Linked DNA regions of Cricetulus griseus. The protein of the gene in region 1 purifies or fractionates together with the protein of each later gene. This does not show direct contact. Links are inferred from orthologs where the notes say so. Each region holds a gene or a part of one and is shown on either strand. Other genes may lie near its edges.

Region 1 (4,580 bases):
CTGTGAACAAATGGATCCTTACCCACATGTGTGTTAAGAGGGAGAGCAGATGTTGTGGGGTGTAGTTCTAGAAATAGCAAAGGCAGGCCTCTGGGGACTCCAGGTCTCCTCAGAGGGTAAAGGCAAGAACACTTACCAATTCAGCCAACACAGACTTCAGACTAACCAGCCCCCTCCCCCTTCACCTATCAATGAGGCTGCTACGGCCCTAGATGGGACCTGCTGTTTAGCCTTAGTGAGTACTAACTAAGGTGGAGTGGCATTTGATAGAGAAAGCAACTTGAAACTGGAGATAGGGGATAGGATAGAGGTGAGGAAAGGGCCCTGTTGGGCTGTAATACCCTGGAAGCCCTTCCTGGGTTTTGGAGAATTCAGATGACCTCACATAGCTGAAGCAGGCTTTTGTTTTTAACGACAGAGAGATGCCTTCTCAAGCTGTGACCACACCCTCATCAGGGCACAGGACCCAGTCACTCCATGACCAGAGTTCAGGGGAATACAGATTCCATGCTTCAGGCTGGAGTTTGTACCTAAGAGTGGGCAAGGAGGGGATTCATTAGGGACAGAATGGGGAGTTAGCCCTTTCCCTCAGATAAGCTGTTTTTGAGACAACACGGTCTGTTGTCTGCTTTTGTAGCCACTGGGCATCTGGGGTTGGGGGCAGCTGCTTTTCTTCTGCAGTCCCCAAACATCTGGCTTCCCGGAACTTTGATTCGGTTTCAGGGCCTTGGCTTTGGGAGAGGTTCTTTCCAGAGTCCTAAAATCGTCTAACTTTGACAAGTGACCATCTGCTGTATGGAAAGGTTTTTGTTCATTTACTTAAAGCTAATATTAAAGTGGGCACTTTCTAATCTGCAAACAAAATGACTTTAGTGGCTGGTTCAGAAATTCCCTGCTAAGGAAGCAGCTTGGAGAAAGAGTGGGGCCACAAAGCGCTTGGTTCCACCCCCAGAACAAAATAGAAGAGAAGGCTCAATATGAAAGTCCCAATACCACGCTGCTGCGGGGTGAGAACACGTGAAGACCTTAGTCTAGGAAACATGAAGTCTGGTTCTCTTCCTGGTCCACTTTGTCCCTAGGTGCAGATGGCAGACACAAGCTCACCGTGGCAGGTGTTAACCAAGACAGGAAGCTCCGACTATTAAGAAAACGCAAAGGAAGTTTTCCATGACTGCTGTTGGCCTCACCCCTCACAAAATCAGATTCCGTCCATTAAAATCAGGGCAATAATTCCTTGTTAATCACTTTATGTTGCTGTGGGGACCTCGAGGCTAAACAAAGCTCTCAAAGTCTAAAGAGCAATTCAGTAGGGCTGTTGACTAGCGACGTCATAATCTGCACATTTGGAAGTTTTTTCATTTGGCTGGTGCGAGAGAAAAGCAGAGAAGAGGAGGAGAAGGCTGCATCGCTCTGGTACCTGCTCCGGAAAAAGAAAAACAGAAAGAAATCCAGCTCTCCCGGGATCGAAGGAGAGTATCTAAGCCATCTCCAAAGTCAGAACTTCGGAAGGTGATACCAGAGTCGTGGTGTCGGGAACCCACTTTCCCAGCGCTGGGCATCCTCAGACCTGCAATCCCAGGTCCGCCTGCAGCCACCGGGTCGTTTCGCGAGCGCCCCCTGGAGGCACCGCCGAGCACTGCCGTGCGAGGGGCGGGGCGGGCGGACAAACCCGGGGTAGGGGGAGGAGTTTTGCGCGGATTGATGGCATCATCGAAGCGACTGGTCCGGAAGGAAGTAGCGTGCTGAGGGGTGTGGCGGTTTCTGCGGTTGCACGGGGGTTCAGACGTGTACGGAGCGCCTGGAGGGACAGCCTGGTACGCAGCCCCCGCCCCTCAGTGCACGTTGGGCCTCGCTGCGGCGCGGGGATGGAGCTGATCCTGGCAGAGCTCCAGAGCTCTGGACCCCGCAGCCGCTCACTTTCAGTCCGCCCACCCGGGAGCAGAGAGAACCCCTGTGTGTCCAGTCTCCTGCCCACGGGTCCTTCAGCGGGTCCGAGCGGAAGCTCTCGGACGTGCCTGTCTCGTGGAGGAGGGCGGGGAAAGGGCGCGAGGTGGGGCGGGGTAGTGGTGGTGGTGAGGGCATTTGCAGAGAGGACGCTACTGTTGCTCGGCAGCTGGAGGCCGCCACGGTAAAAAAAAAAAATAAGTTAGATCTGAGCGTTGGAATCCGCGCCTTGTGCCAATGTGCCGGTCCGTCACCATGGTTTTTCCAGACGCTCGGTCGCATCTCGGTGCCTGAACGTTTGGGACCCTCCAGGAGCCCAGAGTACCCCAAGCTGAGGCACTCCCAGTTTCCTATAACCACCGCACTTGGGGGCAAAGGATATAGGAGAGTTCGGTTTCAGTTTTGTTTAGAGATCTGACCCGTTTAAGTCCAAGGGAATAACTGGGAAGATAGATGACAGGCCAGAGAATTCCTACCTCGGAACTCAACTGCCTGCTGTCTCTCTCCTCAGAGTCCCAAGGGAATAACTGATGGTTTCCTTCGAAATGGCAGGCAATTAGAAGTAGGAGGCTCTGTCCAGAAATACATAGCCGCAGCTGCCTGTCATTTGACATCCTCTGTAATTTGGGCCAACACACTGCAGCTGCCTCTCTTCCCTTACTTACAAGTGGCTCCAGTGACAACACATTAATGAGTAGTGAAGAGAAGGCTGTGTTTTGAACCCTGCCCAGTTGGCACCGGATCTCTGTTAGGTATGCCTAGGGAGCTAGTGCCTGTTCGCTGCAGTGGGCATTATACTCCCACAATTAAGGAACCGAATGTTGACCAAGAACAAGGATGATATGAGATGTAGATCTGGCTAGCATTGTGTTTCTACAACAGTCTGCTTGTGAATCACTTTCCATGAACTACAGCTTGGTGAGCTACTCTCAGTGCTTCGGCCTCTCTCCTACATGTCAAGCCATGCATTGTCCCCTCTCTTATCTCTAGGATACAGGTTCACTGATGGCTCAGTTGGGAGCAGTTGTGGCTGTGGCTTCCAGTTTCTTTTGTGCATCTCTCTTCTCTTCTGTGCACAAGATAGAAGAGGGACATATTGGAGTATATTACAGGTAAGGCAGAAACAGGTGGCTCCTCTCCCTTGTCACTGGCTAGCAGATCCTGCCAACATCTGTATATTTTGTTAAATAGGGGGGCCCTTTTCAGGTGGAGCTTCTAAGGCAGTGGCAATGGGTAAGGGTGTGTGTGTGTGTGTGTGTGTGTGTGTGTGTGTGTGTGTGTGTGTGTTTATTTAAATTTAAAATTGTCATTAGCATTTTTAAGGCAATGCCGATACTTATATTTATAGGATTACAGACAGAAGTCTCAAGGAATCACTACTCTCTCATGATCATTTCCGAGACACTGTTTTCCCTTGCATCCCTTGAAGAATCTTGTCTCCACACCGCCAGGCTACCCCTTCAGAAGTTGTGGAGCCCCAGTTCTTGATGGCAACTTGAGAAGTGTGCTCTGCTAATTTGAGAGACTGTTTTGTGTTGTTGTTGAGTTTGTTTTCCAGCCAGGGTTTCTCTGTGTGGTTCTGATTGTCACGGAACTCGCTCTGTAGATCAGGCTGGTCTCAAACTAAGAGATCCACCTGCCTCTGCTTCCTGAGTGCTGGGATTAAAGGTGTGTGTACCACCAGTCCTGGCCTGAGAGAATGTTTTAAAGTGAATATTTCAAGAAAGTATAAAGACTCTGCAGGCTGATTTATAGCAATCAAGGCAACTTTGGGAGAGTGACCCTTTAAATACTCTTGAGTTACTTTCTTTCCAGTGGCTTCTTCGACTAAGGTTTTCGTTTTAGGTTTAGAAGGGGCAATTTGCTAGGCTGATAGTTTTGCTTGTGGTGTCAAGGATTAAACTCATGTCACTCTACCACTGAACTACACCTCCAGCCTTTATCCACTGCCCCATTTTTGAGAGAGGGTCCCACTGTGTAGCTCTGGCTAGTCTGAAATGGTCTGTGTAGACCAGGTTGACTTGAACTCACAGAGATTTACCTGCCCAAGCTTCCCAAATACTAGGATTAAATGCAGGCATCGACATGTTCGGCTTGAGCCCTTCTTTTATATGGGTCTTATTTAGTGCTTGCTTATGGAACAGCAAGCTCCAGAATGCTCGTTGAGTTAGAATTGTAGCTCAGTGGAAGTGCTTCTGACTAGCATACTCAAGACCACTAATTAAAAAATAATAATAAAAAGGTTTAAACTTTTGTTGAGTTCCCACTTCCTCTTTAGTAATTTGTCTCTACCCTCTGCTTTCTTTTCCCCCAAAGCTTTTAATTTTGTCACTCATATACAGCTTGATTAGAAATATACATGTGTCAAAACATATATTGTATACTTAACATGTATTGAAGTGACTTTAAAATTATTCTTGAACCAAGTGTGGTGGCTCAACACCTGTAATTCCACCACTTGGGTGAGGGCTGAAGCAAGAAGGCTACTATAAGTTTTGGGTCATCCTGGGCTATATATAGCAAGTACTACAGAAATCAGGGCTATGTAGCAAAATCTGTCTCAAAAATAGTGAGATATCGTATGTGAGTCCCCAGATGCTTCTGAAACATGGTGTAGCTCATGACAATACTTTACC
Region 2 (4,503 bases), on another chromosome or scaffold:
TAGAAGCTCCAGGCCTGCCCATAAGGGCTGTAACAACAGAAAGAATCTTTGGAGTAGGAGGAGGGGGCAGAAAGAATCCTTGGAGGAGTCTGTGAGGACCAGCAAAATGGCCCGAGAAAAAAGGGACTGGAGTGTGTGTGTGTGTGTATGTGGGTGGGTGGGTGGGTGGTGGGCGGGTGGGTGGGTGTCTCAGGAATCACAGACAGATGCATGGTCCCAGGGTGTGGGTGAAGGGTCTGCGCTGCAGCCTGAGGTTCCATCATGCTAGCTTCCTGAAAGTGACTTGTTTAGGGCCAAGTTTCCTGTGAGGGATGTATCTGTTCCTTAGGAGCAAAGGTGTGTGTATTTACACAGGTGCAGCTTTCTCAACATCTAGAGGACCTGCAGCCCATGATGGGTGGTAGAGGCTGCACCTGGCACATCCCACGTTAGAGACTCACTGCCATTAACAACTTTCTATCAGCTGAAGCTAGACAGCCCCTCCTGCTTTTTGCTGTTGAAAGGGCTCCCGTGTTGCTGTAAACTCACCCCCCCCCCGTGTGTGTGTGTGTGTGTGTGTGTGTGTGTGCGTGCGTGCCCGTGCAACCTTCACAAGCTTGCACAGGCCCGAGTGTGGAAAACTGCCAATACCCAATCTGCAACATTCCTTGAAGTCAAAGCTGCTTCGAGTTCTTGTGAACAACGCATAGAACCGCCAATACAGCTTAGAAGGTGATGGACGGGTTGCGAGGGAAAGGCGAGGGGAGCAGCCGCGCCGTCCACACCCGTGTGCGGTGTCACGCTGGGAAACTGACCTCCCCCGTCAACTTTGGGAAACAGCCTGCTTAGGAAGGTGACTCTGACTCTTTTGCCACCGAGCCACGCGTCTCACCTAAGGTCACGCGGCGCCCTTTCAGGCCTGCTCACAAGCCCTGTGGCTTTAGCCCGTGGGGTCTTGGCTAAGGGGCGCTCTGGACGGGGCTGTGAACCTACTGCCCCCCTGTCACCTGCGGCCAGCCAGGTGCCACCCCGCCCGGCCCCGGGGAGCCCGGGTCTTCTGAGCAGTAGGAGGGGTTTACGCTCAGGACCCTGGGGAAAGGGAGGGCCCGTGCGTTTCCGCATTCTTCCAGAGCCCGGGGTCCCGCAGCGCACGGAAGGGCAGGGCGGACTTTCGGTCCCACGTCCTGCCCGGCCCGTGCGGCGAGCACTCGCTCCGAGCGCGCGTGCCGGGCACCGGCCCCACCCCCCGGTGGCGTGTGCGCACGTCATATGGGCCGCCCTCCTCCCATTGGCTCCCGCCGCCTCACCAGACCGCGAGCGGACAGGCGCGCGGGCGGGGCGGAGCCGCGGGAAGGCACGCCCCACAGCGGGGCGCGCGGGCGGCGGATAGGCTGGGCGGAGTCACGTGACGCCACCGGCCGCCCGCCTTATAAGCGAAGCCCGCGCGGGGCCGCGGCCGCTCCTGGGCCGTCCGGGCGCGCTACGTGCGGTGTCGTGGCGTGCTCCTCCCACGGTGCGCCTGGCAGCCGATGCCCAGGCTGCACGACCACGTCTGGAGCTGCTCGGGCTCCGGCGCCGCGAGGCCGCACAGCCTCCCGCGAGGCATGATTGCGGCAGCCCGCTGTCCGCAGGGCTCCGGAGCCCCGGAGCCCGCGCCCCGGAGCCCGCGAGCGGGAACGGCAGGATGCGGCGCGCGGCCCGGCAGCTGGCACCACGACCTGGTGCAGCGGAGCCTCGTGCTCTTCTCTTTCGGCGTGGTGCTGGCCCTGGTGCTCAACCTGCTGCAGATCCAGCGGAATGTCACGCTCTTCCCCGACGAGGTGATCGCCACCATCTTCTCCTCCGCCTGGTGGGTGCCCCCGTGCTGTGGCACGGCAGCCGGTGAGTGCCCTCCCTCGTTCTTGGAGTCGGGGCGGGGGCAGGGACACGTCAGCTGTTGTCACCCCGAGCACAAGAAAGGGGACACGAGAGGGTTGGAAGCCCCAGACGCTGGCGAGCGAGCGACAGGCGGAAGTTAGAGGGACTGGGGATGGAGATGAGGTCAGGAGATAATTGGCAGTTTAAGTGGAGGAGTCTCGTGGAGCCAGAAGCGAGGATTGGCTGCCTGAAGAACTGGTGAGTGAAGCACCAGGCGGCCATTGGCTGCCCGAGCAAACGTGCTACCCCGCTGAATAACTGAAAACAAACCGTCACGTGCGCGCAAGAGGCTGTTGCCAGGGGACAGACTTCTCCACACTTCCTTCTGCTGATAGTGAGTGCTTTGTGGCTAGCAGCCAAGCCCTCTGGAACTCCGTGGCCCAGTAGACTTGGGACAGGAGTAAAGCAGGAACCTTTGGGCCCAAGCATACCTACCTATGGTGTCACCTCTCACGTCCAGTGAAACTTGTGACAATGCTAGTCTTTTTTTTTTTTTCTTTTTTTCAATCATTTTGCTGGTTTTACAAAAACAAAACAAAACAAAAAACCAGTCGAATGGTCACAGTCCAGTAGAACCCTGCATATCCCTCAATGCACAGCATTTATTCAAAAAACATGTCAGGTGTCCCCCACCACCAACCCCACAGCCTTGCTTGTGTTTGGCCTATGTAGGTGGGCAGTCTAAGCGCTGTTGCATCTTTCCTCCAGTCTGGTGAGGTGTGGGCACAGGACAGCAGGAGCTGCTTTGAAGCCAGCTTTTATTGACTGACTGCATAGGCTTTATATGCTGGGCTTGGATGTTGTGCTGTAACTGAGTCATGGGTTAAATGTAATACGCAGCGTACCTGCTGTTGATTCCCAAGGCTGCTCTCAGGCCCACCTGCAGTAAGTATTATGGGGTTCAGCTTTGTGGCAGTTGTGTGCTTCTGCCGGGAGGGTTGATGTAGCCATTGGAAGAAAGTTGTCCCCTCTGTTTTCAAAGCACTCTACCACTTTATGAACACTGTTTATTTGGGGCTGGGAATGGCCTCACACACATTAGGCAAATCATTTGCCACTGAGCTATTACCCCAGCACTTCAGAGTTCTTTGGGGAACAAGATGTGGATTTGAAATCTGGAACATCAAGCTTGTAATGGAAGTTTTGAGGAGTACCTGAGGTGGTTCCTCTCCTTATCGGAAGGTGTGGTTGGAGCTGCATTTCTCACCACTGACAAGTCCGAATGGCAGCCTAAGGTCTTGAATTTAGCTGCAGCTCACATGTGCCTTGTGTCCCATGGGGGCTCTCCTTGTACTGCAGGCAGCCCCTTCCTGGTTTTGGCTCTTTTGGTCTATTCTGGAATGCCTGGCTTGTGGCTGTCCGAATGTTTAGGGGTCTGGGTCTGTGACAGCTCCTAACTCAGAACACATGAGCCTCTTTCTTCTCTGCCTCCACTTTACTTACATAACCCTCATTTCACACATGAGGGAACAAACAGGAGGCACAGCCACCGAGGGCAGCCTGGGACTGACAGCAGAGCTCCCTTCCTGGGGCCCTGCCCTGCCCTCCCCACAGTATTGGACTTGTCCCACTGGGGTCTGATCAAGACTGAGAGGAAGCCATACGAGATAGCCCTGCCACAGCCTTTTCCACAGGGTATACGCACAACAGCACTCTGTGCTACAGGTGATAAACTGCCTAGGAAAGTAATCGGTTTAGATCCTATTAATAATGACCACACAGGGCTAATGTTAGCCAGTGTTTTCTAATCCTGTTTTGTTTTTCTTCAAATAGCTGTTGTCGGCCTACTGTACCCCTGTATTGACAGTCACCTGGGAGAACCACACAAGTTCAAGAGAGAGTGGGCCAGCGTCATGCGCTGTATTGCGGTGTTCGTTGGCATCAACCACGCCAGTGCCGTATCCTCAGTTGGTGTCCAGTTTATCATCTGGGTTGTGGCAGGGCAGATGTTACTGTGACCAAATGTTGCCTCATCCCTGTACCTTAGAGAAATTCTGGGATCCAGTTCCAGTTTCTAGGGTCTTTTACTCATCTTGGGACACTTAGGCTAACACAAGAAGCAGATGGACTCTCAAAGGACTTTCCATCCTCCCTCTTAGTTTCTCCCCCACTGACCTGCCTGTTCCAATGAAAGAGAATTAGTGAGAGCTTGCTCCTCTTGTCCGTCATAGAAGTCAAGGCGGGTCAGGCGGCCCCTGGGCCTCTCGTGTCCAAAGCTGACACACTGCCTTCAGTGCGCTGTGCTTTTGTGCAGTCTGCATTTTCTGTGAAAATGGTTTGATTTGATGGTAAACCCTTCAAATACTAAGTTTCTAAGGAGACTTGAAGTAAAAGATAATTGTCAAGTTGCAGTCCCACTTTGGGGGCTGTTTCTTTATCAAACGACTCACAGGTTAGCTCTGATAGTGCTGATTGACAAGCACTGAATTGACTGACTGACTTCTGCCTGGGGTGGCACAGAGACAGGGGTGGGGCCTGCTTGTTTCCACTCACTGAAAAGTAAGCGGGGGAGTGGGAACAGTATCTTAGCAAAACTTCATTGCTTATGGCCAAATGCCAGCAGTCTCACAGCTTTCAAAAAGTTTACAACTGAAAGCCAGACCCCTG

Evidence for each region.
Region 2: the proteins of Erlin2 (region 1) and Insig1 purify together in Homo sapiens (affinity purification with western blotting; 4 studies listed by BioGRID and IntAct, with this or other methods). This does not show direct contact. The link is inferred for Cricetulus griseus from reciprocal best matches to the Homo sapiens genes ERLIN2 and INSIG1.

Annotation. Positions count from the first base shown.
Region 1 is NW_023276807.1:56,817,824-56,822,403, reverse strand, and holds the start of Erlin2 (erlin-2), read left to right. Parts: upstream 1-1,687; 5' UTR 1,688-1,814; exon of another isoform or gene 1,815-1,953; intron 1,954-1,990; exon of another isoform or gene 1,991-2,128; intron 2,129-2,934; 5' UTR 2,935-2,949; coding exon 2,950-3,056; intron 3,057-4,580. UniProt on the Homo sapiens protein: Component of the ERLIN1/ERLIN2 complex which mediates the endoplasmic reticulum-associated degradation (ERAD) of inositol 1,4,5-trisphosphate receptors (IP3Rs) such as ITPR1.
Region 2 is NC_048601.1:94,618,851-94,623,353, reverse strand, and holds the start of Insig1 (insulin-induced gene 1 protein), read left to right. Parts: upstream 1-1,434; 5' UTR 1,435-1,508; coding exon 1,509-1,860; intron 1,861-3,669; coding exon 3,670-3,794; intron 3,795-4,503. UniProt on the Homo sapiens protein: Oxysterol-binding protein that mediates feedback control of cholesterol synthesis by controlling both endoplasmic reticulum to Golgi transport of SCAP and degradation of HMGCR.